4 linked regions of the Coturnix japonica genome follow. The protein of the gene in region 4 interacts with the protein of the main gene of each other region in a pairwise test. Links are inferred from orthologs where the notes say so. Each region holds a gene or a part of one and is shown on either strand. Other genes may lie near its edges.

The links.
Region 1: the proteins of SFN (region 4) and HDAC4 interact in binary tests that used the Homo sapiens proteins (3 or more experiments, as listed by UniProt). The link is inferred for Coturnix japonica from reciprocal best matches to the Homo sapiens genes SFN and HDAC4.
Region 2: the proteins of SFN (region 4) and FOXO4 interact in binary tests that used the Homo sapiens proteins (3 or more experiments, as listed by UniProt). The link is inferred for Coturnix japonica from reciprocal best matches to the Homo sapiens genes SFN and FOXO4.
Region 3: the proteins of SFN (region 4) and MARK3 interact in binary tests that used the Homo sapiens proteins (3 or more experiments, as listed by UniProt). The link is inferred for Coturnix japonica from reciprocal best matches to the Homo sapiens genes SFN and MARK3.

Annotation. Positions count from the first base shown.
Region 1 is NC_029522.1:2,886,019-2,893,796, reverse strand, and holds the start of HDAC4 (histone deacetylase 4), read right to left. Parts: upstream 5,168-7,778; 5' UTR 5,058-5,167; exon of another isoform or gene 5,050-5,057; intron 4,676-5,049; exon of another isoform or gene 4,582-4,675; intron 1-4,581. UniProt on the Homo sapiens protein: Responsible for the deacetylation of lysine residues on the N-terminal part of the core histones (H2A, H2B, H3 and H4).
Region 2 is NC_029519.1:2,351,353-2,358,963, reverse strand, and holds the start of FOXO4 (forkhead box protein O4), read left to right. Parts: upstream 1-3,080; 5' UTR 3,081-3,467; coding exon 3,468-3,911; intron 3,912-7,611. Other genes in the region: SNX12 (sorting nexin-12), read right to left, coding at 532-634, 838-962, 1,161-1,256, 2,475-2,639. UniProt on the Homo sapiens protein: Transcription factor involved in the regulation of the insulin signaling pathway. Binds to insulin-response elements (IREs) and can activate transcription of IGFBP1.
Region 3 is NC_029520.1:45,751,304-45,758,181, reverse strand, and holds the end of MARK3 (MAP/microtubule affinity-regulating kinase 3), read right to left. Parts: intron 5,430-6,878; coding exon 5,385-5,429; intron 3,557-5,384; coding exon 3,211-3,556; 3' UTR 2,460-3,210; downstream 1-2,459. UniProt on the Homo sapiens protein: Serine/threonine-protein kinase. Involved in the specific phosphorylation of microtubule-associated proteins for MAP2 and MAP4. Phosphorylates the microtubule-associated protein MAPT/TAU. Phosphorylates CDC25C on 'Ser-216'.
Region 4 is NC_029538.1:1,603,821-1,610,736, reverse strand, and holds SFN (14-3-3 protein sigma), read right to left. Parts: upstream 4,136-6,916; 5' UTR 3,983-4,135; coding exon 3,242-3,982; 3' UTR 2,743-3,241; downstream 1-2,742. UniProt on the Homo sapiens protein: Adapter protein implicated in the regulation of a large spectrum of both general and specialized signaling pathways. Binds to a large number of partners, usually by recognition of a phosphoserine or phosphothreonine motif.

The sequences.
Region 1 (7,778 bases), on a different chromosome or scaffold from region 4:
TAAAAGGCCAATTAATGCAAAGCACAGCTACACCGTCAGTGCCCAGCTTTTAATCTCCTATACATTAACTTATCCTATATGACCATGTAAAGCAAAAGCTTACAGTACAATACCTCATTCACTTTGGCAACCCTGCCTATGGCAGAGGGGTCGAGACTGTATTATCTTTAAGGTCCTTTCCAAACTAAGGCATTTTATGATTCAGTAGCTTACCGATTCATTATAAAACATATTGAGTCCAGGAGGGGTCGAGGACAGCAAACCCAAAAGCAAACAGTCATCAAACCTCAGTGTGACCTCCAGGCTGTACCCACAGGGTCCCCAAAGTGCAACATTACCTCCTGGACTCCATCACAGCAATGCTTAGTCAAACCCTATGGGCCTGCTTGACCAATGACGCCCCATGGCATCCCTTCCTCAGCCCCCTGACAGGAGCTGACACATCACCTTCACCCTCAACCTCCAGCTCCTCCCAGCAACCTTCTGGCTTCCTTTAGTGGGGAAATACTGGCCGTAGGTGGATGGCTGGACTGGATGATCTTGGAGGTCTTCTCCAACCTTGGTGATTCCATGATTTTAAATGGCCGCCATGGAGCACTCTTAGGGTTAAAAACCACAACCAAAACCTCACCCTGACCAGCAATCAGGCAGATTTTTATCAAACTTCTCTGAGATAAAATCCAGCAGAAACAACAACAACAAAAAAAAACATTTAGGAAAAGAATGAAGCTAATTAAGATGCATCCAGTAATGAATGCCACGCAAAAAGATTCAAGTTCTACAGATGCAGGCCAAGCTGTAATTCCTTGCAAACGGAGAACCACAAAAGCATTCCAGGAGATTTTAGGCTGTTCTAATTGCTCCTCTTTTCAACATCGTTTTACAGCTTCTGTGTGCTTTCCTACTTCTCTGTCCCCACTTATCTTACCTATTTTCACCCCTCTGAATTTTCTAAGTCTTTATCCTTTAAGACAGTCAGAAACGCACGTCTATTTGTTCCCTCCCCTTCTCCCAGCTTAAACTGCCCAGAGTCTTCCCAGGGAAGGAGCACTGCCCAAAATCTGCTTGCTATTCAGGCAGTCCTGGCAATGACAAGAAGCACTTCATGAATCATCTGTTATATACTGCCTTATCAACACGGCCCGCTGCACGAGAAAGTAAACCTGGCCCACTTCAGTTTCCCGCATAACATCATCAAAATGTGAGTGGCATTAATCACTAAAGCAGTTTTAAGACCCCTCGGCCAAGGTCTGGAATGCAGCAGGTAGGAGACTGCTGTTTCTCAACTTATACAATGTAAGGCAAAAATCATATTTTCAGCTTTGATTTTATTATTGTTTTTATTCTTGTTGCTTGCAAGTCTGAAATCAGCAAGCTGAGGAGAACCAGGTTCCTTTCATCGCTGCAGAGCATTGGTGTGCTTAGGCCTCGAGTACCTGTAAATGGAAAACACGGGTTATCTATAAGGGAAGCTGATGCAAAACTGAAGAGCAAATTTGAATGAAGTGACAAGATGCATCCTGACAGCTTCTCTGACCAACAACACACGTTGAACAAAATAAGCTCCAGGTACTCCAGCAGGGATCTGATAGAATATAAATCCAGTGGCTGGTCTTGCAGACTGGGTAGCAGGAGGGTGCAAAAAGTGATGGGACACCTAGAAACAAGCTACAGATAAGCCAGGAGACCAACAGAGCAGGAGGCATCACCAAGGAGGCCAGCAGGAAAAGTCAAGAACACTTGGCATCACAAATACATGATGAAGATCATTATCACGATCCAAAGAATACTTCCAGTTAATATTTCTTTATGGTCTTTATGCTTGGTAGTTTGGAATGGGCTCACAGCGAATACCATTCAGCAAATAAAATGTTCTGGTAACATGACCATGTTCACCAACCATCAACTCAAGATGAGTGAGAAGAGTCCTAAGGGTTTGAAGAGTTGTGTTATATACATGGTATTACACCTATGCACACAACAGTACTTCCAATGAATACTAACACACGTAGCACCAAGGAGCACAACACAGACATTTTGTTACCTGGAAAAGGACAGGAGGCCAGAGGAGTGCTTTCACCCCACGATTAAGTGGGCCCAGCTGGGTTCTGAGCATTCAGGTTGTCAGACCCTGCTCAGCACACGCTTGGCCACTTGACCCAGACAGCACATGCTGCACTTAAGCAAACTCAAGGACTCATTTACCGTCATATTACAAAGGCATGGCATACAAAAAGCGTTCCAGGAATGCAGCCCAAAGGTGCTGAAAAACAATGCCAGTGGTCTTCCAGTGTGGCATGCCCAGCGTTCAGCCAAGCAAGAACACAAGCACCTCTCGTGTTGTCAGCCCTCAGTCCCTGAGGTCAGGCTGTGCAGCAGGTTCTAAAGGACATCCAGCATGCAAACTGCTTTCAGCATAAGTTACTTGGTAAGTGCATGGTGAGCTCTTAGCTGTTCTCAGCTCTGGAAACAGAAAGATGACCTGGAGTACCTGACTGTCATATACTACATAGGCAATGGAAACATTCTTCCTCAGCACTTTGTCTTATCTGGTTTGGGGTATGTTCATGCAATAGAAAGGCTGTAGCTGCCTCAGAACTGGAAACCCACAAATGATCAGAGGGAAAGCTTCAGCCATTGCACCAAGCTTCTGATCCCAGAGGCATCTTCCGATGGCTTTAAAGAAGTCTGCTTCAGGGAGCAGCAAGCCACTTCAAAGAGATTAGGAGGGCAACGTAATCTAAACCCACGGGCTCCTGCTCAACTTTACCTTTCATTTTCACTAAGCCCAGCTCCCTGCCCTTGCAGGTCACTGCATGGTTTAATGCTGCAGGCTGGAATCAGCTCCACCTCTCCAGGAACCCATAACCAAGCAGCTCCCTCTTTTTGCTTAATTCTTCCTTCCGTTTCATTCTTTTTTGCTTGTAAGCCAACATAAAGTGATAAATGAGACTCGCTCCCACCAACCACATCACATACTTGGGGCATGGAACCCACTGCCCCCCGACCCTGGCCATACAGCTCAGACCTGCCTACACATCACATAACCAAGGTTGGAAAAGACTCCCTGAGATATCCAGTCCAGCCATCCACCTGCCACCGATATTGCCTGCTAAACCACAGCTCTATGTAAGCAGAGACGGCAAAGAAAACCACAGTGCTGAATGGTTTTGCAGGTCACGGTGCTGCACGGACACACACATCTGAAGGGGCAGCTCCTGTGCAAAGGATGAAAGCTGCCACCCCGTCCTTCCAACCCATTCTGTACAAGCCATTCAAAACACATATCCGGCTGTTCTAAAGCATCCTTGTCACAAAACCAAACCCTGAAGCAAAAACCCAAAGAAATTCAAGAACGGGAAAGATGAATTTTAAAGACTTGAGATTATCAGAATCATTTTCCCCCCCTTCAGTTGAGCCAACCGAGAGCACAGCTTAACGTCAGCGACAACACCTGGCAGGTGCACGTGCCATTCAGAGCAGCAGACACATCCTGGAAAGCACGTTTCACTTGGTACAGAAAAACCTGCAGTGCTAAAAAACTTCCTCTTTCTAACTGGGTGGCATTTTACATCTCCAAATGGAACTGAGTGAGCACATCACCATGGTGACGGGAGGATTCGGCAATAACTTTGGTGCCTTGTAATTGCGGTATATTTGTATACAAGCAGCTGAGCTTTCTTAATTCAATGCCCTCTTAACTCTTTCTGAGAGGCTGAGGAGTGACAAAGGCAGCCTTTGGGCTGGGAACTCCACGCGGCAGCACTGGAAACATCAGAGCAGGCAGAACTCAATGCGGGAGGGGCTGGGGGGGGGGGGGGGAGGAAAAGGAGAAAAAAAGCAGCCTTGCCAAGAAGCAGATTATTATATAAACTTCAGAGCTCCTTAGAAACGTCGCTGTTATCAAAGCATAATTAACTTCAGGTAGCTTTTTGGCAGGGAACACGGCCCCAGCTGGAGGCAGCCCGTGACAGCAGCACATCGCGGCACCGTTAGCGAGCATGGAGCTGAGGACAAGCACAGGGCACCCATCCGACCCAGCACACACAAACCTTCCCCTTCGCTTCAAGGCAGCGTTTTAGGGGAGGCTGGGAGCAACGAGCCGAGTTGGTGCCAACGAGCAAGCGACAAAACCTTCCCGTATCATGCCCCAAAACAATTACGCAAGTGCTTTGAATCAAAGGCCGGTTCAGCTCCCAAATACAGCCCTACCATCATGGCAACTAAGCGCTCCGCAAACACATTCCCCTGCTCAGAGGCCACGCCGCTCGGAGATGATAGCGCCGAGCATCGCTCTGACAAATTCCTGCAGCAAAAGCCCGCAGCACCTCCCTTACGCAGAGCCACGCGCGTTGCAAGCCATCTTTTTTCCCCCTTTTTTTTGTGGTTTGTTTCAAGTTAAGACCCCAACATCGCAGCACAAACCTCATCCCTCGAGCTAAAACACAGCATTTTCGGGGACTTCCACCAAACCCGGGGGCGGTGGGACCGTGCGGGGCCGAGGAGGCGCCAGTCGGTCCCAGTCGGCCCCGCACGGCCCCACCGCCCCCGTCCCACGCCGCCCCCGTCCCCGCCGCTCACCGCTGCCCGCATCGCTCCGCGCCGAGCCCCGCGCGGCTCCGAGGCGGCGCCGCTGCTGCCGGGGGTGGGAGGAGCCACGCGCGGCCGCGAGTGGGCGTGGCCAACGCCGTAGCCCCGCCCCCTTTTGCCTCATTCACAAAAAAACGCCAGCGCCGCCGCCCGGCTGCGGGAGGAGGGGCGAGCGGAAGCCACGCCCCCACCGGGCTCCGCGTCCAATCGCGTCGCACAGCGGCTCAAATCCACCACGAGGGACAACGCGATTGGTGCGCGGAGCTGCCCGTCACCTCCCTCCTGCGGAACCCTCCGCACCGCGCGGCCGGAGCCCGGAGGAAAACAACCGCGCGCCCCGTCGAAGCCTTAGGGAACCACGGGGAGGGCCGGGCCGGGATTAAAAGCCGGCGGGCAGAATCTCGCCCAGCCCTTGTGCCCCGGGGCTACCCGGCCACGCGAGAGGCTCGGCGTACTGACCTGCTTACCGGTGGGAGGAGCGTGGAGCCGTGAGGCGAGAGCTCGGCGGCGGACACGGGCGGCGCGCGCGCCACCAACGGACTCAGCCCGTGACGGGATCCGCCATCTTGGAATTTTTAGATGGAGAGTCACGTGGTGCGACCATTTTTCCCACCGGCCAATCAGGAAGCGCGGGTTATTTATAGCCTCGGCTCCCTCTTTGCACTCCGCCTCATCCCGGCTGGGCGCGCGGCGGGGGAAGGGAACCAATCAGGCCCCGCCTCGGCTCTTAGCCCCGCCCACCCGCGGCCGTTGGGCGCCGTCCGTTGGGTTCCTCAGGAGTCCCGTCACACAGCGGAGCTGCTCTATCGCTGTGTGTTACCCCGGGCAGGTATTAATTACCCTGGGCTGCTATTAAATGTGGAGGTTGGTGGCCTTGCACGTAGCGCAGGGTTGGAGCTTCGTGATCCTTGAGCCCCCTTCCAAACCAACCATTCTACAATCTACAATCGTGATTCTTCTATGCTTGAGCCTACAGCCTATAGTGTGTGTCTAAGGATATACTGCCACTTCTGCATAAAGCTGAAGCCCTTTTTTGTCTCGTTTTTACCATCTACTGGCTTGTGGGCTTGTTTGTTTGTTGTTTTTTTGGTCAGTGAGGTTTTAGGTTTCCTCCTATGGTCGTTCTGCTATCTTTATTCTGGGCCGGTTTGTGTGCTCACGTGTATGTATGCCTGCATGTATAAATAAGCTGCTAAATTATTTTAAAGTGTCCAGAGACGTGTGGGGATAAGTGCTTTAGGTCTAGAGGTTCACAAGTGCAGACTGTGCAGCCAACAAGGCAATACTGATCTATGCCACAAGCTGCCCAGTGCATGGAATGAGCGGTGGCCATAGCAGGACCCATGTATGGACAGCTGGGTGGCTGCCTGCCCTCTCCTGAGGCTTCCTATTTCTTGGGCTGCTGCAAGGTGCTTTGCACACCAACATACTTACAGGCATTGCTTTGCTTAAGTGGTCCCTGAAGCAAATCAGTGCTCCCCATATGTGCCCTGGATGCTCTCCTGCAGCTCCAAGCTGGCTGGGTCTATCACCTCCAATGCCTTCTACATGGCTGAAGGTATTTTAGAAAGATGAAAGAAGAGAAAGAAAATTGCACCCTTCAAGTTGCCATGGAGTGTAAGTTTTATCTTCCAAATTTGATTGATGCGGTACTTGTGGCCGTGGGTGTGAATATGTGTGTGTCTATTAATATCCAGTCTAGGCTAACCTGTGCATAATGACAGAAAATTAAACCCTGCCATTGTTCCTATAAACTAGAATTCAGACGTGAGCAAGAAAAAACGTTCTTCCTATATGTGAAAGCTGACTGTATGTAGTATAGTCTGTTTTTACTGTAATTGCAGCTGAGAAGTTTACTTAAAAGCTATTTGAATTAAAGGAATTGGCAGAGCTAATTCATAAAGACTGAAATAAAATGCAATTACTGAGCTTCCCGCCCACCTCCACCTCGTCTCTATCTGAATTCCACTTGTTTGTCAAAAAGGGTCCATTTTTTGATGTCCTTAAGCAGGTAACATCCATCACGACGCTCCAGCTCGTTTCCGTACCCAGTCACAGCAATCTGGAGAAAGCAAAAGAGGAGCTCTCAGCTTTCCATCCTAATGCTGCCCCTTCCACCACCTCCTCGTCAGGGAAAAGAGCATCGAGTTAGGGAGAAAGCCAGCAGGAGCTTCCTCTAGAGCCTTGCCACTGAAGAGCAACACCTACTCCAAGTGCCAGTGCTGCAGTCAAGCCCAGACGCAAGTGTCCATGTGTGGATTGCTTTCCCTCCTCCCTCCTGATCAGTCAGTTGCCATCATCGCTCTCCCCTGATATTTCTCTCCCTCCAGTCACCCTTCTTTGCCTTATCTCCCACTCCCATCTGCTCTGTATCCTCCCTGCATTGTACACATTTCATCCTTTCTACCATCAGGAAAAAAAACGCGACAAGGAAAAGTCATGGTGCTGCTGCTGGGGAAGAAAAGACTGGGTAAGGAAGACGTAGGATTCGAAAACATACAGAAAAAGCTTTGCAACAATGAAGAGAGCGTTGGATATTTATAGCAGTCATCCTCAGCTTGATACTCTTTGAAAACGTTTCCTTGCCAAATTTTGCTGAATTGTATAAGTTCCGTATTTGTTTAGCAGTAACATTGATCCTCTGAGAGGAGAGAAGGAACATGGTGCAGCCACTACAAACTGCTGCCCCTAAGATCTTACCGTAGGACATCATCCCTCCTGGGCGGACTGATGAGCTGCGAGGATAGAGCAGATCTCTTTGCCTTCAGCTGTCAATGTTAGCAGCACACTGAGGCTTCAATTGAGAGATACACAAGAAACGAGTCTGTACTTTAACATGAGATCTGCGTGGAGTTGAGGGCAGGATAATTGCTGGATCATTTAGCTTACCAGTGACTATTATTTTCCTGATTCTTTATCTACATGTTATTGAATGCCTTGATTTTTCATCCTTGGCAGCTGCTGAGAGAAAAAGATATAGCGATGTGTGTGCATGTGTGTGTGCACGTGTGTGTTTCTCTACAGGGGAGCCTTAGAGGAAATATTGATTCATTTTCCTGTCTCTTTCAACCAGAAAAAGAAGAATCCTGAATGATACAGGATAAGAAGAACCCCAAACAATTAAAGTAGAAATAACTGTGAGGAACAAAAAGCGAACAAAAAAAGCAAGCTGACAAAAAGCAACAAGT
Region 2 (7,611 bases), on a different chromosome or scaffold from region 4:
TCGGCACTTCCAGACACTGAAGAAAGGGGGTTTCATGCAGGGCAGGTGGGGTGGACGAGGGACCAATGCACCCAGGCGCCTACTCACTCTTTTGGATAAGCCTTACTAAAACTCTAATACCCGATGCCATCACCGACCAACGTGACAACTGCTGTTCTTCACAGTCTCCTGAAGAGAAGCTTTGGGGCTGCATGGACAGGGGGAGCGAAGGTCATCTCGTACCTTTCCGTACAGGGAGAGAGGCAGCTCCTACGCCGTAATGCCACAAGCAAGTTCCTGCTCCACACCTATTCACACCTGCCGCTAGGTGTGGGACAACACATTCACTCGCATCAATCTTCACACCTTTAGGCCAAGACCACAGCCCGCAAGAACAAGTTGCTGCCAGTTACAAAAAGAAGGAAAATACTGAACAAACTGGGAGGTTCAGGAGAGGAAAAAGCTGCTTCAGAGAAGACGGATTTAGTGTAAAAATAAATGTCATTTTTGCAGGAGGGAGGGTGGAATGGAGGAAGACAGCGCCAGGTGCTGCTACTGGCGCACTTTCCCCGGGACGTAATTCCTATCGATGGTCTCCTCTTGCAGGAACATATGTAAGCAGCGCTCGTTCTGTGCCAGCGGGTGCCCAGCAATTCTAGAAGGAAACGAGAGGTGGAGGTTAGCACAGGCACCACCGAGACCCCCACGTACACACCTTCTGCAGGTGGGGAGTGAAGGCAGAGCTCTCAGCACAACACTAGCGTATCTAGATTACTTTCTGGTCAACCCACGACCCCCTCTACTACCAGCAGCAGCTGGAAGAACGAGCAGGCAGCAAGCCCGGGGCATCAAGCTTACTTGTTAATAAACTGTTCTAGTCCCTGTCTCCTCTCCTCGATGAAGGACTCCTCAAAGATGCCTTCGTCTCCTCGGAACGGAAGCTGTCGTTTCAAAGCTTTTCCAGGCAGTGGTGGCACTACAATCTGAAAGCAAAGGATCACTCCTGTCAGCAGAACTGCCACCTGAGAGAGGGCACCCGTCATCATTTGACACCCACCACGTGGCCAGAAATCGAGCCCCAGGGGCTGCCCACCACAGCCTCTCCTCTGCTCCAAACCATCGCTGCTGCTGCTCTCATACAGCCCACTTGCAGGAATAGGCACATCTGAGCCAGACCTCACCTTACTGTCTCGTTCCAGCTCATTCTTCAGCCATTCAAAGTCACTGTATCGTCTCCTCACACACGACTCCTTCAATTTGAAGATGGGGAGGTTTGTCTGTAATCAAGAGAAGCAGTTAATTAGCAGGGCCCTTAGGAAGCCAGACAGTGTTTCTACATGCCATTGAAAGCCAAAGCTGCGTTCAGAAAACCAGGGCCCCCCAAGAGGGACATATCACAGGAACGCCCAGCTTTGCTATTCTGGACAGAACATAAGCACATAACAACCTGCGGCAGCTCCCCTTCCTTCTCCCTCCCTTCCTCCAAGAGTCTGACAGCTCCTCAAACTTCACCTTTGCACTATCAATACATTCTGAATCATCGTGGGAGCTGAGGCAGCACAACCTCCTGACACGCAGCACCCAGACACGCACAGGTACTGCTGCAACACAGCTAACTGTATACAGACCAGGCTCTGAGCAACTTCACCGAGCCGTAGGTTTTCCAGCCCATTGCAGAGCAGTTGGAGTAGATGACCCTTAAGGGTCCCTTCCAACGATTCCATGATATCCTGATCAGGCCTGCAGAACAAAACTGCTTTCAAAGCATCCCTGCAGGAACTAGTTCCAGTGAGACAAAGATCCGCTCGCTGCTCGCAGCCCAGCCCGGCTGCTTTTAAAGGAGGCTCCAGCTGCACACGCTCTCCATAACCACCACACCCCCGTCCGTCGGCCATGTTTACCCCAAGGCCCGGCTGTGCCGTTGGCAGCTCGCAGGGCCCTGCTATAGGGCCGTGCTGTAGAGCACTGCTATAGGGCACTGCTATAGGGCCGTGCTGGAGAGCACTGCTATAGGGCACTGCTATAGGGCCGTGCTGTAGAGCACTGCTATAGGGCACTGCTATAGGGCCGTGCTGGAGAGCACTGCTATAGGGCACTGCTATAGGGCCGTGTTGTAGAGCACTGCTATAGGTCACTGCTATAGGGCCGTGCTGTAGGGCACTGTTATAGGGCCCTGCTGTAGAGCACTGCTATAGGGCCCTGCTGTAGAGCACTGTTATAGGGCCCTGCTATAGAGCACTGTTATAGGGCCCTGCTGTACAGCACTGCTATAGGGCCGTGCTGTAGGGCCCTGCTATAGGGTACTGCTACAGAGCACTGCTATAGGGCCCTGCTATAGAGCACTGCTATAGGGCCCTGTTATAGGGCCCTGTTATAGGGCCCTGCTGTAGGGCGCAGCGCCTTCGTGGTGCCGTCCCCCCGTCCCGGTCCCGTCAGGCCGCTCCGATCCGTTCCAGGCCACCCCCCGCCCGCCCCGTCCCCCTCGAGGGCCGCACCCTCATGCGGAGCTCGTAGCTGGTGTATCTGGCTCGGCCCATGCCCACGGTCTGCGGGTTGAAGATGTCGATCTCCAGGAAGTTGCTGGGCGGCCCGTACGCGTCCGTCAGGTCCTGCGGCTTGGCGTTCAGGCGCCGTGTGTCCGCCACCGCCGCCTCCGACATGGTACCGCCGCCGCTGCCCCGCCCGGCTCGGCCCGGCCGCTGCCGCAGCCCGCGTCGCCCCGCCCGCGCATAGAGCCCCGCCGCCCGCCCGCCGCCTGCATAACGCGCGGCTTATCCAGAGTGCCGGGCGGCCGAGGCCACCCCGCTCGTGCATGCTGCGCCGCCGCTCGCAGGGCGCCTGCATAATGCGAGCGAGTATTCATAGCGCGGGGCACGGGCGATCGCCGCCCCGGAACGTGTATGCTCGCAGGAGCCCCGGAACCTGATTAACGCAACGATCGCGCTGCGGCCCGTGGCGCTTCGCGCGCCGCTCCGGTCCGGACATCGCGGTGCGGCCTGCAGCGGGGCGCTGTGCGGGCGGAACGGCCCCGTCCGAGACACCTTGAGGGGGCACGAGAAGGTGACGGCCCGGTTATGTAAGCGCAGCCGCCGCGGTGCCCGCCGGGAGCTGTAGGAGCTGTAGGAGCTGTAGGAGCTGTAGGAGCTGTAGGAGCTGTAGGCCGGGTGCCGCCCCGCCCGCCACGCTCGCTCGTGGGGGCGCAGCTCCCCGCCCTGCGGCGCGGTGCTCGCCGGGAATCGTAGTCCGCCGCTGGGCCTCGGCCGCGCGCTTTCTCCTCGCCGGGACTACATCTCCCAGCACGCTCGTGGCGCGCAGGCGCAGCTCGGTGCGCTGCTCGCTGGTAAACAGAGCGGCGCGGCGGTGTCGGTTCGCGACTGACAAAGGGCGGCGGGTCGGGCCCGTCCCGTCACATCCCGTCACGTCCCATGTGGCGGCACCGGGAGGTTCAGGCCCGGCGGGGCGCGGGGCGGCGGCGCTGAGCGGGGCCGATGGCGGAGGCGGGCGGAGCGGCGGCCACAGCGCCGGACATCGACCCGGACTTCGAGCCGCAGAGCCGGCCGCGCTCCTGTACGTGGCCTTTACCGCGGCCCGAGCTGCCCGCGGGCGCGGCCGAAGCGGGAGGAACGGGCGGAACGGGCGCGGCGGCGGAGGAGGGAGCGGGCGGAGCGGCGGCGGCGGCGGCGGCGGCCGGGCCCGGGCGGGCAGAGGGGGCTCGGGCCGGAGGCGGCGGCGGAGCGGCGGCGGCGGCGGCGCGGAAGGGCGGCTCCCGACGGAACGCGTGGGGCAACCTGTCGTACGCGGACCTCATCACCCAGGCCATCGAGAGCTCCCCCGAGAAGCGGCTCACCCTGTCGCAGATCTACGACTGGATGGTGCGGTGCGTGCCCTACTTCAAGGACAAGGGCGACAGCAACAGCTCGGCCGGATGGAAGGTGCGCGGGGCTGCGGGGTTGGCGCGGGCCGGGCCTGCTCGGCGCTCTCCGCGCGGTGCCGTTCTCAGCCGCGCTCACCTGTTGCTCCATGTGCCGCTATCGCGGCCTGGAGCCGTGCGGGCCCGGGGGGCCGCCCCGATAATACGGCGCCGTGTCCGGGACAGTAGAGCAGCAGCCCGCGGCTGTGCCGTGTGTTCGCTCCTCGTGTCCTCAGAGCTGCGCTGGAAGGAGCGAAGCTGCTGGAGAGGCCGTTGCGGAGCTGCCCGGGCGTCAGCTGAAGGGCCTTTTAACTCGAGGCCGCGGTGCGCGGGGCTCCGTGTAAATAACAGTTTCATAGCAGGCATTCTTGGCGTTAAGGGCCTCCTTTAAACGTGTGCGCTGTCCGAGAGTCGCTGTGCAGGGACTGAGGACCTCTGCTGGAGTTTGGTAAAGGGAGAGCGTGTCTCAAAGCTCCAGACCTCTTCCCATCTGCTCTGCACATCTGCAGGTGCTGCGTTCTGCTAAAGACCCGGCTCCGTTTCCATCCTGTGCAGGTGGCAGCTGCAGGGTGTGTGCTGTTCAGTCAGGTGGACTCCAGCAAAGAGAAGGGGCAGTGTGAGAGCTGGGCTGTGAAATAGCCGTGTGGGCCACACTCATATATATTTCACAGCAAGTGCCTGCAGGAGTGGGGTCTGAAGGGCAGCACCACAGTGATGCTGTGCTCCTGTTTGCAGGCTGTGCTGCAGTGTGAGCCGGTGGGTGTGGGGCTTCCATGACTCCAGCTCTGCATTCCTCTCCTGGGTGACTGAGCACCCGATCAGCACAGAGCCTTAGTGTTGCTTCTGTCGATGTGCTGGTGGGTCTGCCTGCAGCTGGCCCAGCTCTGAAGGGGCTCAACGAGCAGTTGTGGGAGTCCTGTTGGCTGCAGAGAGGGCAGGAGTGGTGGGAGAGGTGCAGCTGTCTCAGCCCAGGTTGGCATGGGTTGACACAGAACTCCTGCCACATTTCTCAAGCTTTCTGACAGCTCTCACAAAGTGTGTGTAATTCAGTAGCATCCGTCCATATTTCTTTGTGTTAGTCTCTCCTTTGTGCAGGTTAAACCATCATTAAGCTTCAGTTGGAGGCAGGACCCAGCTGTTCCTTTCAGTAGGTCTGGGGGCTCGTGGCAGAGAGCTCCCCCACCTTGGGCTGTGCACGCTGTGCTGCTCCCACTGTTGCACAGGCTCGTGTTCTTCTGGCAAACAGTTCCTGGAATGGTGTCTGTTCTCTTTAGGAATGTGTCTGCATCTGTTTGGCAACAGAACCTGAGCCTGGAGTTGTGTCTTATTAAATGTATCCCGAGATGTTACAGGGAAGCTGAAGCGTGGTGCCCAGCTGGGTGTTGCAGTAGGTGGGTGTGGAGCTTGGTAAAGCATGGCTGTCCTCTTAGATGAGTGTGCAAAGGGATTGTCAGCCTTGGGTTTACTCTTGAGTTTCCATTGCGTATCATGCTTAGGAACTGGAGTCGGATTTAACATTCAGAAAGATGGAAATGGGGATCTGTGCGCAGGGGAAAGCAATCCGTGCTCTGCTGCTGTTCTGCAACGACTTTTCCCTCGTGATGAAGTTCCTTTGTAGCCCTGCAGCCTGAGGGCTGCTTCATCCCATCCACGCTGACACACAGATGCTTGGGGTGCTCCACACATCTCAAGTTAAGGACTCTTCTGGGTGCAGCTTTTTAGATGTTGGACCGAATGAGTTTGAAGAACGGAACCGAAGGTGGAGCTGCTGCCCAGTGCTGCTGGGATGCTTGAATGCCTTCAGCCCCCCGAGCTGTGATGTTCCTGTTGTACTGGCAGGGATGCACTGATAACGTATTGCATTGTACAGTTCTAATAGAGAACACATCTGGAGCATTATACACATCTGCTCCAGCTAATATAAAGCCTGTAAACTCGTTGCTTCAGAAGGGCTTTGCAGCTGCTTTACCCCGGCACACAATGGAGGGAAATACAGCTGTTACGGTCTGTGAGGGTGTGACCTCTGAATTCCGGAAAGCTCAGTCCTCCAGGAAGGTTCTGTTTGCTGCTCTTGAGCTGTGCTGAGCGCTGTGTGAGCGGGCAGACCTGCCGGGTGTGCAGCCCGTCTGCTCCCTAATGTAATTCAGCTGGAGTTAGGAATTAACCGGGCTGGGGGGAGAAGTGTTGGTGCAGGAGTGTGCCTGCAGCCACTGTAATCCCCTTGTGGGCTCTGCAAGCTGCTCCAGGATAAGAGGATCATTGCTTCCGGCTTTCTGCCTGTGGGATGGGGGCTGTGGGGGCTTTGGGCAGAGCTGTGCCTTGCTCAGCAGGAGGGCACAAAGCTCTCTGCAGCAGTCCCTGTGTGTTACACACTGTCCCTCTTGTTGCACTTTGTGTGTCCATGAGTATAAGCAGGTTCAGCACGGTGATGGGCTCACAGAGAACATGGTCCCATCCAGTGCAGGGCCATGTTCCAAAGCCAGGCTTGTCATGTTCTCCCAAACCCACTGTCTTCTCTTCTGTAGGAACAGAAGGAACTTGAAACTGGCCTCTTCCAAATCGCTTCAATGTAGGGAAAATCAGCCTTTTCCTATGTGTGCAGTGGAAAGGAAAGAACAAATGGTTCTGCAGCTTAGCACTGGTTGCAGGAGGCTGAAGTGCTGCTCCGTGGTCTGGCACTTTGTGTTTGCTTTGATTCAGATGTATGTGTGTGCGTGGTGCAACAATTCCAGTGGCTGCACTGCAGATTACAATGAGGAGGGACTTCCCTGGCTGCTACTGCTGTGACAGCAGCTCTGAAAGTCCCCCATAGAAGAGCAGCAGCCAGAAAGCAAAAGTAGCCCCGGCTGGGAGGTTCTGCAGGTTATCCTCACGCCTTGCAAATGAGTTCCAATTCAGTTCCAATTAAGCACATGCTTGTTTGGCTGGAGGTGAGCTGTTCGTCATTCATTGGCTCCCTGGCTGCTGCCCGGCCAGTTTCACTTTTTCTATAGGCTGATGTATAGAAAGCAGTGGTATAGAATCACTGATGGTTTATGGAGCCCTTCAGAGTATTTCCCTGTTGTTGCCTGCTGAGGCATAACTTGCGTGCCCAAAAGCCGTAAAGCAAAAGGCAATGTGAAACTGAAGTTCAGCATCTTAGCTCTGAGCAAGGTGCTGTTCTGCACGAGCTTCAGTCCAATGCACATCCGTACATGGGGTGGGCTCAGCCTGAAGCCTGGCTGCCCACGGCTGCTGGCTGTGCAGGGAGGGAGGCTGAGATGGAGTTACTCTGCCACAGGCGTTCTGGCACTGCGAATGAAGAGGTGTGCGTTCCACGTCGCTTTGATTGCTGATGTTGTTGCTGTCATCATTGACACCTAACAAAATCTAACAGCAATTGGACAGCAGTAACCCGCAGAGGTACGACAGGGCCATGCTGCCTTATATTTGTAGGGGTTCTTGTGGTTGAATCTTGTTTTTCCTTTGCAGGGTGCAGTTCTGCTCTGAGGAGGGGAGAGCTCTCCCTTTGGCAGCATCCCCTCTGCCCCATGCAGTGCACTCCAACCCCTGGGAGCTTTTGTTGCTCCCTGTCCATTTGTTGATGAAGATGAATATTGCAGCACAGCTTCATCTGTCAGGCAGCCCTGAAAGGCAGCAGCTCCTGCGATGCTGGCATGGCTTGTTCCAACAAGTTCCTCCTGCTCTTATCTAACCCCGAGTAGCTTTTGCTGCGTCTGCCT
Region 3 (6,878 bases), on a different chromosome or scaffold from region 4:
GTACGTGTCCCCCTCAGCTCAGCTCTCATTTCTTTCTTCCCTCTGCCTTCAACATGCAAAGCCAGCAGAGCCATCGGGTGCACAGAGCAGAACCCAGCCGTATTTTAGCAGCCTTCACCCAAGCGCAGCCCTGTGCTTTCTAATGGCCTTTTAAGGAGCGCTGCCAGCACCACGGCTCGGCTCCCGCTGTGAGCTGTAGCACTTCCCTGCAGGAACGAGCTGGTGTAACACACGGGCTGTGAGCACACGTGTCCTCTGCAAGCCGGACCTACAGGCCCTGTGAGCCCAGTGCAAGAGGAAGGGCCCTAATTGCTGTTTGTTCGCACATAGGAGGCTTCAGGCCGACCTGACAGCGGCCCCGCACCAACAGCGCGGCCCGATGGCGACCCCGTGTGGCCACAGGCAGAATCTGAGACCAACTGTAACTGAATCCAGAGTTCTGTTGTTAGTTCTGCCCCTTCCTTGAATGTGTCTATTAAAAACCAGAACCCTTTGATTCAACGCAGCCAACCTCCCCTGTAACTCTGAAGACATTGTTCTTAACCAGACCCAGCAACCAAAGGCATCTTCAGAGCTGGATGAGATGGATTTTAGCACTGCACAACTTCAGTCACGAGCCTGTGACAAACACCCTCCACCACTGCACTCAGACCACACGTCCCAGGACTCCAGCCACATGACAGAGTACAGCTGAGGATGCTGAGATGCTCACCATCACCTCTGGTTGATTGCAATGCAGAGAACACAGCCATAGCTCTGTGAAGCTGGATCAGGAGCAGCACCAACGGACCTCAAGGCAGAGCAAGAAAGAAAGGCAGAGGTTGGTGTCTGGTTGCGGATCTGAAGGAAGCAGTTTCCTTTGGAGCCCTGCACTGGAGGCATGCGGGGTGGGAAGGAGATGAGGGTATGTTCTTGCAGCTTGGTCATTTCACAGGGCATTCAGGAAGGAAGCTGCTGAAAATCTGTTAATGATCATCATTCTTTTCTTCTCCAAATACCTTGAAGACAGACAAACTCAGACAGAACCCTCTGCAAACACCTCAGTACTTAAATACAAGCGTTAAATATCCAAAGGGTGCGCTCTTTAGAAAGAATGAGGTACTTAAGAGGTGAAGTAGGAACAGAGTCTTTCAGAAAACATTTAATATGAAACCTTTTGGAACTTCCATCGAATACAGATTTACATCATTTTATCAGAACAGCGTTTCAGTTCAGACAATGAAGTGCACTGCCAGGTGGAGAGAAAAAAGAACACATTTGGAGGAGTGCTGGAAGTGTGGGAAGTGAAAGGAGAAGGTGACTGCTCACCTGAGAAGGTGCAATGACTGCCCTGAAAGGTTTTATTGCTATTACAGAGTGGACTTCTTGAGGGTAAAACCATACTGAGCAGCACGGGCAGAGCACTGAAAGCCAACTGAACCCCGAGAGTCCCAAAGCCATGGCATGACACAGAATATACAGAGAATAAAATGCAAATCCAGGAATATTCACTACATTGAACAACTACGATCGTCCTTTAAAACTAGCAGAGTCAATATCGATGCTCAGGGGAAGGAATGGAGGGGATGTCTGCTGCCTTCACAGACCGCGGGTCACAAGGACTAACTTGCACAACACCACGGGTTCTCACCTGGTGTCAGACCCGAACTGCGCACTATGAACAGCCATTAGCTCACTGCAGATTTCAATGCCAATTGAGGCTCCAGTCTAAAGCACGCGTGAAGTACATGCTGAAGTGCTCCACTGAAATATAACCATCAAACATTCACACAAAAAGTCAAGTAGATAACGCAGCGTTTTATCTACAGAAGTCCTCTGTGAAATGAACTGAGTATTCAGCAGGAAACAACGCTTGTAGGAAGCTCCTGGTTCCGCTCTGCCAGCCCAAATCCAGCTCAGCACAGCAGTGCTTTAAGAAGCAGGGACCATCCGACAGCAGCTCGGTGTCCTACAGAAACTAGCAGCCATCAGTGTCCGTCAGGGCAGGTTCCACACATAAGAGAACAGCGGACTCCTTCCTCAGCAGGATCTAGAGACACAGCCGGCATGAAGCCAGCAGCAAGGTGCCCAGAGCCAAGCGGGAGCATGCTGCAAGAGAGCTGCAAGGAAAGGTTTAGCTGCCACTGCCCATGGCTGTAGTTAAGCAAGCTGGATGTTACAACAGGGGACATCAGCAGCCAAATCTGACTCCCACTTTTGGGTTTCAGAAAACAAAGGAAAGCACTGCTGTGCCCGCAGCAATACTTTGGAGCAGCACAGGCTCATGTATGGTGATGTGCATCAGAACGTGGCTGCTGTTTGAGAGTCCTGTTGTGCTGTGATCAGGCTGGCCTAGTGCAAGGGGGAGAACTCTAAGAAGCCACAGGTCAGCACTCAGCACACAGCACTGCTCTGCAGGGGGACTGTGGAGCAACAGAAAAGTACTCAGAGCTGCAATCAAAACTCGTAAGCCAGAGGGATAAAGATACAGTTTTAGTAGCTCAGCAGAAGAATGGAAGCATTTACTCAAATTTTAATGCACAAATCAACTACATTATTAAAATCTGATTCGGACTTAAATAATAAATAGGTGGGCAAAACATAATGCAAGACTTACTGGGTAAAAGTGAATTTTTAATAATTTCATGAGCTCTACTTAGAAAACAGGACTAATAATGTTCACAACCGTAAATCCAAACCCTTCACACCCTTTTGTTCCTTAACACAGCAGTGAATTGTAAACCTGCGTTTACTGGTTATCTCTTCAGTTATTTTAAATATTGAACTCAAGTGTTTCCTCCTTGGCCATTTCAATTTTTAGCACCAAAATTAGCCCAAAAAGAGGTACTGGTACAGCTCCATGTGGTAAATGAATTGTTTACATATAATACTTTATATATTATACACACATACTGTACATTCACACGTCCACACAAACAGGAGGCATATTTAAATGAATATATTCTGTGTTTCAATTTGTTGTCAAAGACTTAGGAGCAATGGAAATAAAGCAGAAGGGGTAATATTTTACATAGTAGGCAACTTTAATGCTGTAGTGCACTTATAAAAAAGTCCAACTCTCCCTCCCAGCTCAGCAGCTTTGTTTTCTTTAATATCACTATTCAGAAGGATGCAGAAGTTATTGCCTAAATGTTATTCTATACATTTCCATCGGAATTCTCAAAACACTTGAAATTGCTAACTAATTTACAACTTAACTATTGTTTCTTGTTACAGCTTTAACTCATTGGCAATTTTGGAAGCAATGTTTTTAAAAGCTATGGATGTTCCCGATATCCGCTTAAAGCGAACTCCGTTCAGGGACAGTCTTGGCAGGTCACACACCTCCATTTCCCACTGCACGAGGTTTTCCGCGTGCCCATCTCCATGGACACAGAAAAGCAAGAAACGCTCTCTTTGTTCATAGTCACAATTATTGGCATCCAGGACCTTCCGGATCTCCCTCATCATGTCATTGGGATCCATGGAGCTGGTGGTTTTCATGCTCCATGTGAAACGCAGTGAGCGAGGCTTGGCTTCCTTGTTCTCATCCTTCTGATCCACGGCTACATTGCGGCTGGAAGAGAGCAATTCATCAGTCAGAAGGGTGAGATACTTCCATGGGACAGGTGTTAGCAAAGCAAACTCACGGGCAACACACACTACAAGAGCAATGTCTATGGGCCCTGGCAGCACCCCATCTCCCTCACTGCCGTACAGACACACAGTAAAGATAAAGCGTCAGCGTTCGGGGCTGAAACAAAGGTGAGGCTTGATGGGAGAAACAACTGGAGGTCACTGGAGTTGGGAGCGTGAGGGAAGTCACCTCACTGAGGAAAAACCACACACATCAGCTAGGATTCAGTTTTAAGTGTTGCTCCAAGCCCTACTCTTGGGCCACCTGCCACCCAGTTCTGGGCTGGACAGGTTTCACTCTATGAGACGTGCACAAAAGAACCACTGTATTGTAGGATACTGGGGATACCTTCAACAGGGAGGAAATATTCTGACTTTAAGCTGGTCAGTAATTTGGTTAATACCAATCAAGTAATGTGGTGAAGTCCTTTGCAGCTAGAATCTATTCATGTCCTGGAGACCAAAATGCAGGAAGGAGAGCTGGAAGTACTGACATGGTTAGTAAAGCAACCAGGGCAAGAGGGTTCCTATTACTGCCACAGTTCTAAAAGACAGCAAAAAATATGCCTTAGTACTTTCCATTTCCCAAATCTGCAAGGTTTTCTTTTTGTTTCTTTAAAGCTTTTCACTTGGTAAGGAGAAATAAGGTTATACAGGACAGTAAAAAACGATCCAGAAATTTCTAGTTCATAATGATGCCTCTACTTCCATAAAATCAGCAGTCACAGAGCTAAAGCATAAGGAGCTACATTTAAACCTTTAAGAAAAAAATGGGGCAGGTTTTCTTTTGGAAAGACTGCGTGCTGTCAGTCCTATCTTCAAACTTGTCCCCAGGGCAAGAGACTTTAATATACTGGCCACGATGCTTTAATATTTTCTGAAAACACATAACCTTGCTAACCCTAAACCACACAGTTTAGGTCTCGCGTTGAACTTCAAAGTTCAGTTTACAATTAAATTAAGCTCTTCTCTGAGATATTTGGCAGTGAATTTCTGCTTACACAACGCTTTCTTCCTTCTCCCACCATTAAGCAGGCAATTATGAAAAAGTTACATAAAAAGCAATGGCAAGGTCACAAAAAACCTATTGCAAAGATAACCTGTCTCGTAATTTTATATTCTATTATAATGACTCCCAGTAACTGCAAGAATAAAAGGATTATGCTGTCAAATCCAGCTGCATGATTTCTCAGATGCTACATACTCTTTGATTGCTGATGTATGTTGTAACTGTAAGGTTTTAATTTAATGAAGCTGCAGGAGCTGGCAAAAAGGATAGGGGGAGTAACATCAACTTTTATTCAGTGCCGACTTTAGAAAGCCTTTTCTACTTGAAAATGGTTGGCAGAATGAACACAAAGCCGATGGTTTCTAGTACTTTTAACACAAGGATTTGAGGAAGAGTTTAATATGGAAAACATTTGTGATTTTGGAGACAAAAGCACAACTTAACATCCTTCAGTGGTTATCCCACACATGTGCAGTCTCACTGGACACCACTTACCTACAGATCTACGAGACAACAGCAAATCATAAATACTAAGATGCAAAAAAACACACGAGGGAGAAGGCAACAGGAAAGATGGAAGTTTAGAAACAAGCCAGTCAGTGCTTTAGTAGCTGATCTGCAGACAGAAACGCTTCTTTGTTTAGTTTCACAGCCTTAAACAAAACAAAAGCTGCTGCCTGAAGCCACTGTGCCACATAATCAAGGGAAGAAAGGTTCAAACTCACCTAAATAACATTTCAAACAAAAATTTTACCCTCACCTTGAGCCCTCAAATCTCCCGTTCCTCTCATATTCAGTCGGGAGCCTCATTGAAAAGAATGCAGAAGCAAAAGGAAGTGGGAAAGAGAAGACAAATCTTACACTACAATATACAATATCTGAGTAGTTGCTAAAAGACACTGCAATCATAGCAAAGTCGTGTTAAAATACAAAGCAACAAAGATGTAATGAACTTTCTAGGTTAGACCAAGTTCAGAACGTAACATCTTACCCAAGTCTGTTAACTACAGCTTTTAAAAGACCCTTAGCTATTTTTGGCATGGTGTGCTTATATATTTACATTGTAGAATTCATTGAAGTTGAATGTCCACTGTAGAAAATGTCAAATGAAAATAACAAAATATATTAAAATTATCATTTAATAAATAAGTTCTCATTATTTTTAGCTTTTTGGTTGCTTGCTTGTTTTAAGTGATCTGGGAATAAAAGTGTACATTTGAAAAAAATAACGTTTATGAACTAGTCCAGACTTGGTCTGCACACACACCCCATCTGAAGAACTGGATATTTAAACACCTAGCCATCTAAACCAAAAGATCAACATACGTATACATTTTAACCAAAGTTTAGAGGTAAATCCAAGATCTCCCATGCTGTGCTATTAATTCTCACTGTCACATCTTCTATATCCAAAGAAAGTTAAGCTTTCTATCCTTTTGCACTGTTTAAAGCTACGTTGCTGACTGCTGACAGAACACCCAGCAACAACCCTATACAACAAGGTCCTGCACAGCACATGGTAAGATGGGATCTCTAGCAGGAGACTAATGGACTAATAAAAAGCTGTAACAAAGATGATGATGAAGACTATGAGAACAACTAGCAAGTCCTCAATCAATTCCAGCACTTCAAAGCGTGCTTTATTGGTAGCTATTTTTGTCTTAGTTTTATATTCAAATATTAGCATTCAACCTTCTTAAGGGGAGAAATTTCCACTTGTTCAGTCACACAGGAGGGCAGCTGACCCAAAGGCTACAGACAGCCCTTCCAATGTTCTTTAGTAGACTGACTGCAGCCCACACTTATGTCACATTTCTGAAACTCACACATGCTTAAGACATCAATAGCACTGATGGACTTCAAGGCAGATTAAGATCAAGTGCTACTACTCTACTATGGTGAGTATTAGAGAAGGTAGACGACATTCACAAACCCAACCTTTACAACAATATTCTAAGACTGAAATGGGAAAACGCTGCAAGGGAGAGAACCCTTATAGCAGCAGAACAAAGCTACTCCTTCCAGATATGGGAGAGAGGTGCGACAGGCTTGTTTTACTGAGGAAAGCAACCAAGTATGAAGACACTGCTCCACTGAGGACTACCTGAGCTTTATATATTAAATAACAAAATACACACCACCTGGAAATGACAAACTCTACTTCTCTGAAACCTGTTTGGAAATCCTCACGTTATTAAGTTTTCCTGTGCTCCAGCATCCATCCATTCAGCACCAGGAACTGTACTCAGTGTCT
Region 4 (6,916 bases):
CTCCATCCTCATGCTTTGCTGGTGAGGGTTTCCAGCCCAATCTCAGCCCCAGATCTGATGCAGGAGGGGCAGATGATGTGCTTATAAAAAACAAGCTGATTTATGGCTGTTTTTTCACAGCTCTAAGAGATTCGGTGGCTTAAAAGGGTGCTGTTGGGTCAAGCTGGAGTTACCCACGAGCTGCCAAAGCTTTTATAGCTGCTCGGCTTTAGTTCTATCCCTGCAACACCTGCAGCCCCAGCCCTGCGGTGGGGAAGATGGAAAATCAAGGAGCTCTGAGCCCCGAGGGGAGCTGCCACGTCCCACAAACCGGGTCCTTCTCTTGCACGTCCCCACGCCGGGAGGGGACGGCTCCTGGGGGCTGAGGAGGTGACACCCTGGCTCCCGTCGCTCCCGTTGAGCAAGTGTTAGGCATGGGGCCAGGATTCGTCACCAAGGTGCAGGCCTGGCCCTGGGGTCCTGGCTCCCAGCCCCAGCTCTGTGCTTTGTAGGGTCAGGGATGGGGAATGGTTGGGGATGGGGAATGGTCGAGGCTTTGCTCATCGCCCTGTGTGGGGATGTGCAGCTCCATCCCCCTGCCCCACAGCACAGCCCATCCCTAGAAGGGGCTCCAGAGCTCAGGACAGGCTCCTTTCAAAGCAGTGGGCTCAGAGCGGGCTGATCCCAGCAGGAGTGTGGGGCTGGGACCAACACTGAGTGGTTTCAGAGCCCCCCAGGCTGTGGTGGGCATCATCCCTGCACTGTGCTGTTCTCTGTGTGGACAGACACACAGAAGGGCAGCACCCAACTTGGACACCCCAAAAGCTGCCCTGCTGTGGCCACCAGCCCTTGGGATGGGGCTCAACCACTGTCATCCAGCTTGGGGACGAGGGACAAGCCTGGCTGTGTGTCCTGCTGCCCGCCTGTCCTGCTTGGGGTGTGCAAGCAGCGCCAATGGAGCAGCAGAGATCTATTCCAGTAGCCATAAAGCCATGGCCACTAGTCGCTGGGTGTGGGGCTGTGCTGGGACCTGATTCCAGTGCCCACCTTCTGTCCCCAGCCCAATGGGGCTCTGAGTTGGGGATACCCCCTGGTCATGGGCACCTGAGTCCCGTTGTTTTGCTACTGTTGGAAAACCCTAAAATCCACCTGCACAGCCCTGCTCTGTTCCTACTGTGGGCAGACAAGGATGGGGAGCCCTTGTGGGGATGGGGGGGTCCCTCCCAGCTCCAAAAAGCCTCCGGGCTGTCTGTGAGGTTGTGGAGCAGCACAGCCCCAATCACTGCAATTTGGGGCATGGTTAGAATTGCACACCACCCACCGTCCCCTCCCCGTGTCCCCAACCCCGGGGGTCAGGCCCAGCAGGTGCCTGCGGCTCATCCTGCACGTCTGCCAACCCTATGCTGCCCATAGGGCATGGGAGCAGCTACCAGGAGGGGTGGGTGCATTCAGGGCAGGATGGAGGCCAACCGTGGGAGCCCCTTATTTCCCCCTCAGAGGGAACTGATGGCACTGAGGGACCCCAACCCCATCCTCATACTCAGCCTCATGTATTTCCTCAGCTCTGGGTTGGGGGCTCCCAGTGCTGCCCTGCAGGCTCTAAGCCGGCTCTGCCACGGGATGTGGGGCTGGGAGAGCAGGTTCTGCTCCGCTCATCCTCCCACAGCCAGAGCATTCCCACGGCCCCATCCTCCCCACCGCAGGGTCGTGCCTCAGTTTCCCCATACCCAACACTGGACCGTGCCAAAGCACAGCTCAGCACTATGTCCCCAATGTCCCCAAGTGAAGACCCCGTTGAACCGGCACACCCTGAGTCACTCGGCTTCCTCCTGCCACCCCATTTCCCATCAAAGCCGGGTCCTGCCCAGCACGGCCCAGCCCTGCTGCTCTCCATCTGATGAGCTCACGGCCCAGGCTGCCAGGACTGGATTTCAGTGTAATTAACTGTTCGTGTTGAAACTCGCGCTCCCAGAGCTGCACCCTTCGCTGTGGCTGAGAGCCAGGGCCAGAAGTGCTGAGCTTTCTCCAGCGCCGGCACATCCACACCTCCATGGGGATGTCCTCACCTCGGTGGGATGCTGTCACCTCCCCTGTGACAGCTCCGTGTCAGTGCTGGAGGGGAAGAGCTGAAACATCCCCCTGTCTGCACGGAGCCCCAGTAATGGGGTTTGGGACACTGTGGGTTGCGTGGTTTGGGTGGGGACACCATGGGGATGGAGATATCATGGAGGTGGGGACATCAAGATGGGGATGGGGACATTGTAGGGATGGGGACATCATAGGGATGGGAAGACCATAAGGGTGGAAACATAATGAGGATAGGGACACTATGAGGATGGGGACACTATGGAATGGGGACACCATGGGGATGGAAACCCTACGGGGATGGAAATACTATGGGGGTGGGGACACCATAGGAACATCTTGGGGATGAGGACAGTACAAGAATGGGAAAACCAAAGGGATGGAGACACCATGGGAATGGGGACATACAATTGCAGGGCTGGAGACCTGGGACATACTCTCCCTATGGAAAACCCACCTAGAAAGCCCATTCTGAGACCCGTCCCTGAGGTCTGGGGCTGGCTGAGTACCCCCACACCCCATGGCGGGGCTGGGAGGGGCTGCAGGCAGCCAGACCTGCACTTTGGAGGCCCCGAGTGCTCCCCAGCATGGCGTGGCACGCAATGGGACCGGCTGTGGGAGCTGCAGGAGCTGCCTGGGCTTGTGCACGACAGGAGAGATGAGGCGACCACAGAGGCAGACGTGCACGAGATGGTTTATTGGAGCCACACAGAGGCTTCGGCAATTCGCAATCCTCCATCCGGGTGGGGGGCACATCAACCCCCCCCCTCCCCTTTCTCCCCATCCCGTCCCATCACCTCCTCCCATTGCCCCCAAGGGACCAGCGGCACGGCTCTAGCCCCCCAAGACAGAGGGCTAGGGCCCCCCCTAAGCTACGCTGGGGTATCCCCCAAACAAAGTGTTAAAGGGGTGAGGGGAGCATGACAAGAACATGGGGGGGGGGAGAAGGAAAGGGGAGGCCCTGCCAAAGGGCAAACATATGGACCCCACTCCCAGAACTGGAGGGGGGGTAAGGGTGGGGGGGCGAAATACCTTCCCCACTCCTTAAAAAAGGAACAAAACAAAAGGAAAAGACACCGAAGGGCTTCGGGAAGGGGAAGGGGAAAGGGGGGGGAGTCTGGGAGGGAGGGGAGGAGGAAGGAGGTGGGGGATGGACCCCAGCTGCATTGGGGGCCGTTCAGTTCTTGGGCTCTTCGCCAGCCTCGCCGCCGTCTTCACCCGCGCACTCGGCTGTCCATAGCGTCAGGTTGTCCCTGAGCAGCTGCATGATGAGGGTGCTGTCCTTGTAGGAGTCTTCGCTGAGCGTGTGCAGGTCCCCCATGGCCTCGTCGAAGGTGGTCTTGGCCAGCGAGATGGCCTGCTCGGGGGCGTTGGCGATCTCGTAGTGGAAGACGGAGAAGTTGAGGGCCAGCCCCAGGCGGATGGGGTTCGTGGGCTGCATCTCCTTTTTGCTGATGTCCATGGCCTCTTGGTACGCCTTCTGGGCGCTGTCGATCGTCTCCTTGCGGTCGTTGCCGGAGGCCACCTCAGCCAGGTATCGGTAATAGTCTCCCTTCATCTTCAGGTAGAACACTTTGCTCTCTGCATCTCCGGCCTTCTTGATGAGGTGCTTCTCCAGCAAGCCCAGCACCACGTTGCAGACGCCCTTCAGCTCCTCTTCCACCTTCTCCCTGTATTCATTCACCAGCTGCGCTTTGTCGTCTCCCTCCTCGGTTTTGTGCTCGATGCTGGAGATGACCCTCCACGCCGAGCGCTGGCAGCCCACCACGTTCTTATAGGCGACGGAGAGGAGGTTGCGCTCCTCGTTGGACAGCTCGTCTCCATGCTCCACCACCGCCTTCATGAAGTCCGCCATGTCCTCATAGCGCTCAGCCTGCTCGGCCAGCTTGGCTTTCTGCACTTGGTGGTTTCTTGCCATGGCTGAGGGCGGATGAGGAGCAGGATGAGACGAGGAGTGGGGCCGGGAGCCGTCGGAGCCTCTGCTGAGCTTCACCGCCCCGATTCGCTTTTGGCTGAGCGTCGGAGCCCCGAGCAAGAGCAGGAGGAGCCAACGAGGCTGAAGGAGCGGCCTCCTCCTCCTCTGCTTCCTCCCCGCAGAGCCCGCCCTTAAAAAGCAAATTGCCGTGAGTCATCATGCCCCGAGGCACAGGGTGATGGGGAAGGGGTGAGCGGGTGGCACCCACCCTGCCCTGGATCAGGTGGGTGCCGGGAGGGAGAGGATGTGTTCAGGGAGTTCATGGTGAGCCCCCCCTGTGTCAATGGGATGTCCCACTGGATCAATGGAGAAGTCTGGATCAATGGGACATCCTATGTCAGTGGGAGACTCTGAAACAATGGAGGAGGGAAGATCAACTGGGGACCCCGGATCAATGGGAAACCCCAAATGAATGGGAGACCTAGAATCAGTGGGGACTCCAGATCAGTGGGGGAGCCTGAACCAGTGGGAGAGCCTGGATCAATGGGATACCCAGACCCACGGGAGACCTGGAATCAGTGGGATCCCGAAATCAATGGGAAACCCCAAATACTTGGAAGACTTGGGATCAGTCAATGGGATCCCCAGATCAATGGGGGACCCTGAGTTAATGGGGGAAACCGGATCAATGGGGGACCCCAAATAAATGGGAGACCAGGAATCAATGGAGATCCCAGATCAATGGGGGACCATGGACCAATGGGGGAACCCTTCCCCATCTGCCAGGAGTGCTCAGAACAGGGAGCAGTGGGGTCGTCACATTGGGGTGAAGCAGGAAAGCGGCAGCACCCAGTGCCCCCATCCCAACCACCCTTAGAGAAACAGCACGGGGAATAAACCTGGCTGTAAAAATGGTCTCCTCCCCAAAAATCCCATCGCTGTCATTTTTATATGATGATTAACTTGTCGGTGATTGCAAGGGCTTGAAGGGCTGGTATTTATTCCCACTGGTGGGGAAATCGAGGCAGGAGGAGCAGCACGTTACCCCAGCACTGCTGCAGGGATCAGGGCCAGGATTGGGATTGGGGCATTCCCAACTCCTCCACCCTGCCTGCTCAGGGGGAATTGCCCTGGCACTTGCAAGTACTCAACCCCAACCCCCCCATTGAACCATCATTGGACATCCCCAAACCCAAGGCAGCTCCACACCCACAAACCCCACTGGATCCCCATTAAGGCTTCTCCACCACCCATCCCCATGTCCCCCACCCTCTCCGCTCATCCCACCGGGGCTCTTTTCTCTCCCTTTACGCTGTACTGGAAGAATTGGGATTATTATTCCTTCTTTTTTGTCAGTCTCATTTTGATTCGAGTTCTGCCCAGCAGCGCTGGCGGCCCCGATTAGGATCTGAGCTCGGCGTTGCGCTGCAGTTTCGCTCTCAGCCTGTTCCCACACGCCGGCACAGGGCAGGGTGCGGCGGGCAGCACGTGGGGATGGAGCCAAGGGCTTCACCAGCGCTGTGCCAGCACCCTCAGCCCCATCCCTGACATCCTCTCCCCATTGGGGTTGCTCAGGGCTGGCAGCTCTTGGTCCCAAGCTTATGCGGTCCCAGTCCCCATCCAGCCACATGGTGGGGGCTGTTGAGTTTGGGGCTCAAAGTGGACCCCCCGTGAGCACTGCTCGACCTCATGGATGCACAGGGGCTGTGGTTTTGAACAGAATGCACTTCTGCCCCCTACCCCATAGGAGAGACCACAAATGGGGCTGTGTATGGGGGCAGGTCCCCCCCAGGGCACAGCATGGAGCTCGTGGGTTTGGGTGCTGCCAGAAGCACCGAGCTGCTGCCAAATGTTGGTGGCAAAGAGCTGAGCAGGAGCTGCAGAAATATTCTGCTCTACTGGTTTTGGTGTGAGTTAAGGGGGGGTGAAGGAAGAGCCCCAGCTCTGTGCCCTGCTGGGGAGGGGTCAATGGCCACCCACCACCCTCAGAGCACCCATGAACTCACACAGCTGCAGTGAGGGATGTGGGATGGAGCCCAGCACCACACGGACAGACAGGAAATGGGAAAATCTTTATTTTGTTACAAAAGTAAAAGGCAGAATCCTACCAGGCTCAAAGCCCTTTGCACAGGGGGAAGGGGCCCATCCCCTCCATCAGAGCCCCATAGCGATGGACCGGGGGGTGGGAAGCTCATGGGGAGGGTGAGCGTTGACCGTGCACCATCCTATGGGGTCGAGTGGGATGCAGTGGGCAACACGCTGCTGGCTTAATCCCAAACCCCCCCAGGTAGGGCTGGATGCTGGGAGCCCTGGCTCAGTACGTGGCTCTTCCCCATGGTGGGGGGGAGGAAGGAGGAACGCAGTATTGCACTCGGGAGGGAAGCTGTATGGCTTTTTGGCCCCTGCTGTGGGTGGGGGGCTCAGAAAGGCTTTGGCTTGCACACGGCTGCTCTCCCCCCTCTCTCACAGCAGGAAGGGGGAAGGCACAGCGCTGCGGAGCAGAGGCACGGGCGGTGCTGATGGCTGTCATCGTTGGGGGGTTCGTGGGGTCCTGGCTTCCCTGGGGTGCTCCAAGAGGGGCAGAGGGGCTGCCGACCTGCGGAGCTCCGTGCTGCCCTAAGCACACTGCACAGCCCCAGGAGAAGGGAAGGAGGAGAAAGAACTCACCTCGATGACAGACATATCGAAAGACAAATGTCACATTACACACAGGGAAACTGAGGCACAAAGGGATGGAGGTGAGGGATGGAATCACAACACGTTCCCAGCTCAGTCAGCCAACATCCCTACACCGTGCAGGACAACACTGCAGACAGCACGGGGCTGGGCTGACCCTCAATTCAGCTCCATCTCACAGCACTGGGGGGTTGGAAGCAGCCTGCCGTGCTCAGCCAGGCTGCAGGAAGGCAGTGGGAGCATGCAGGTCTCAGCACAGCT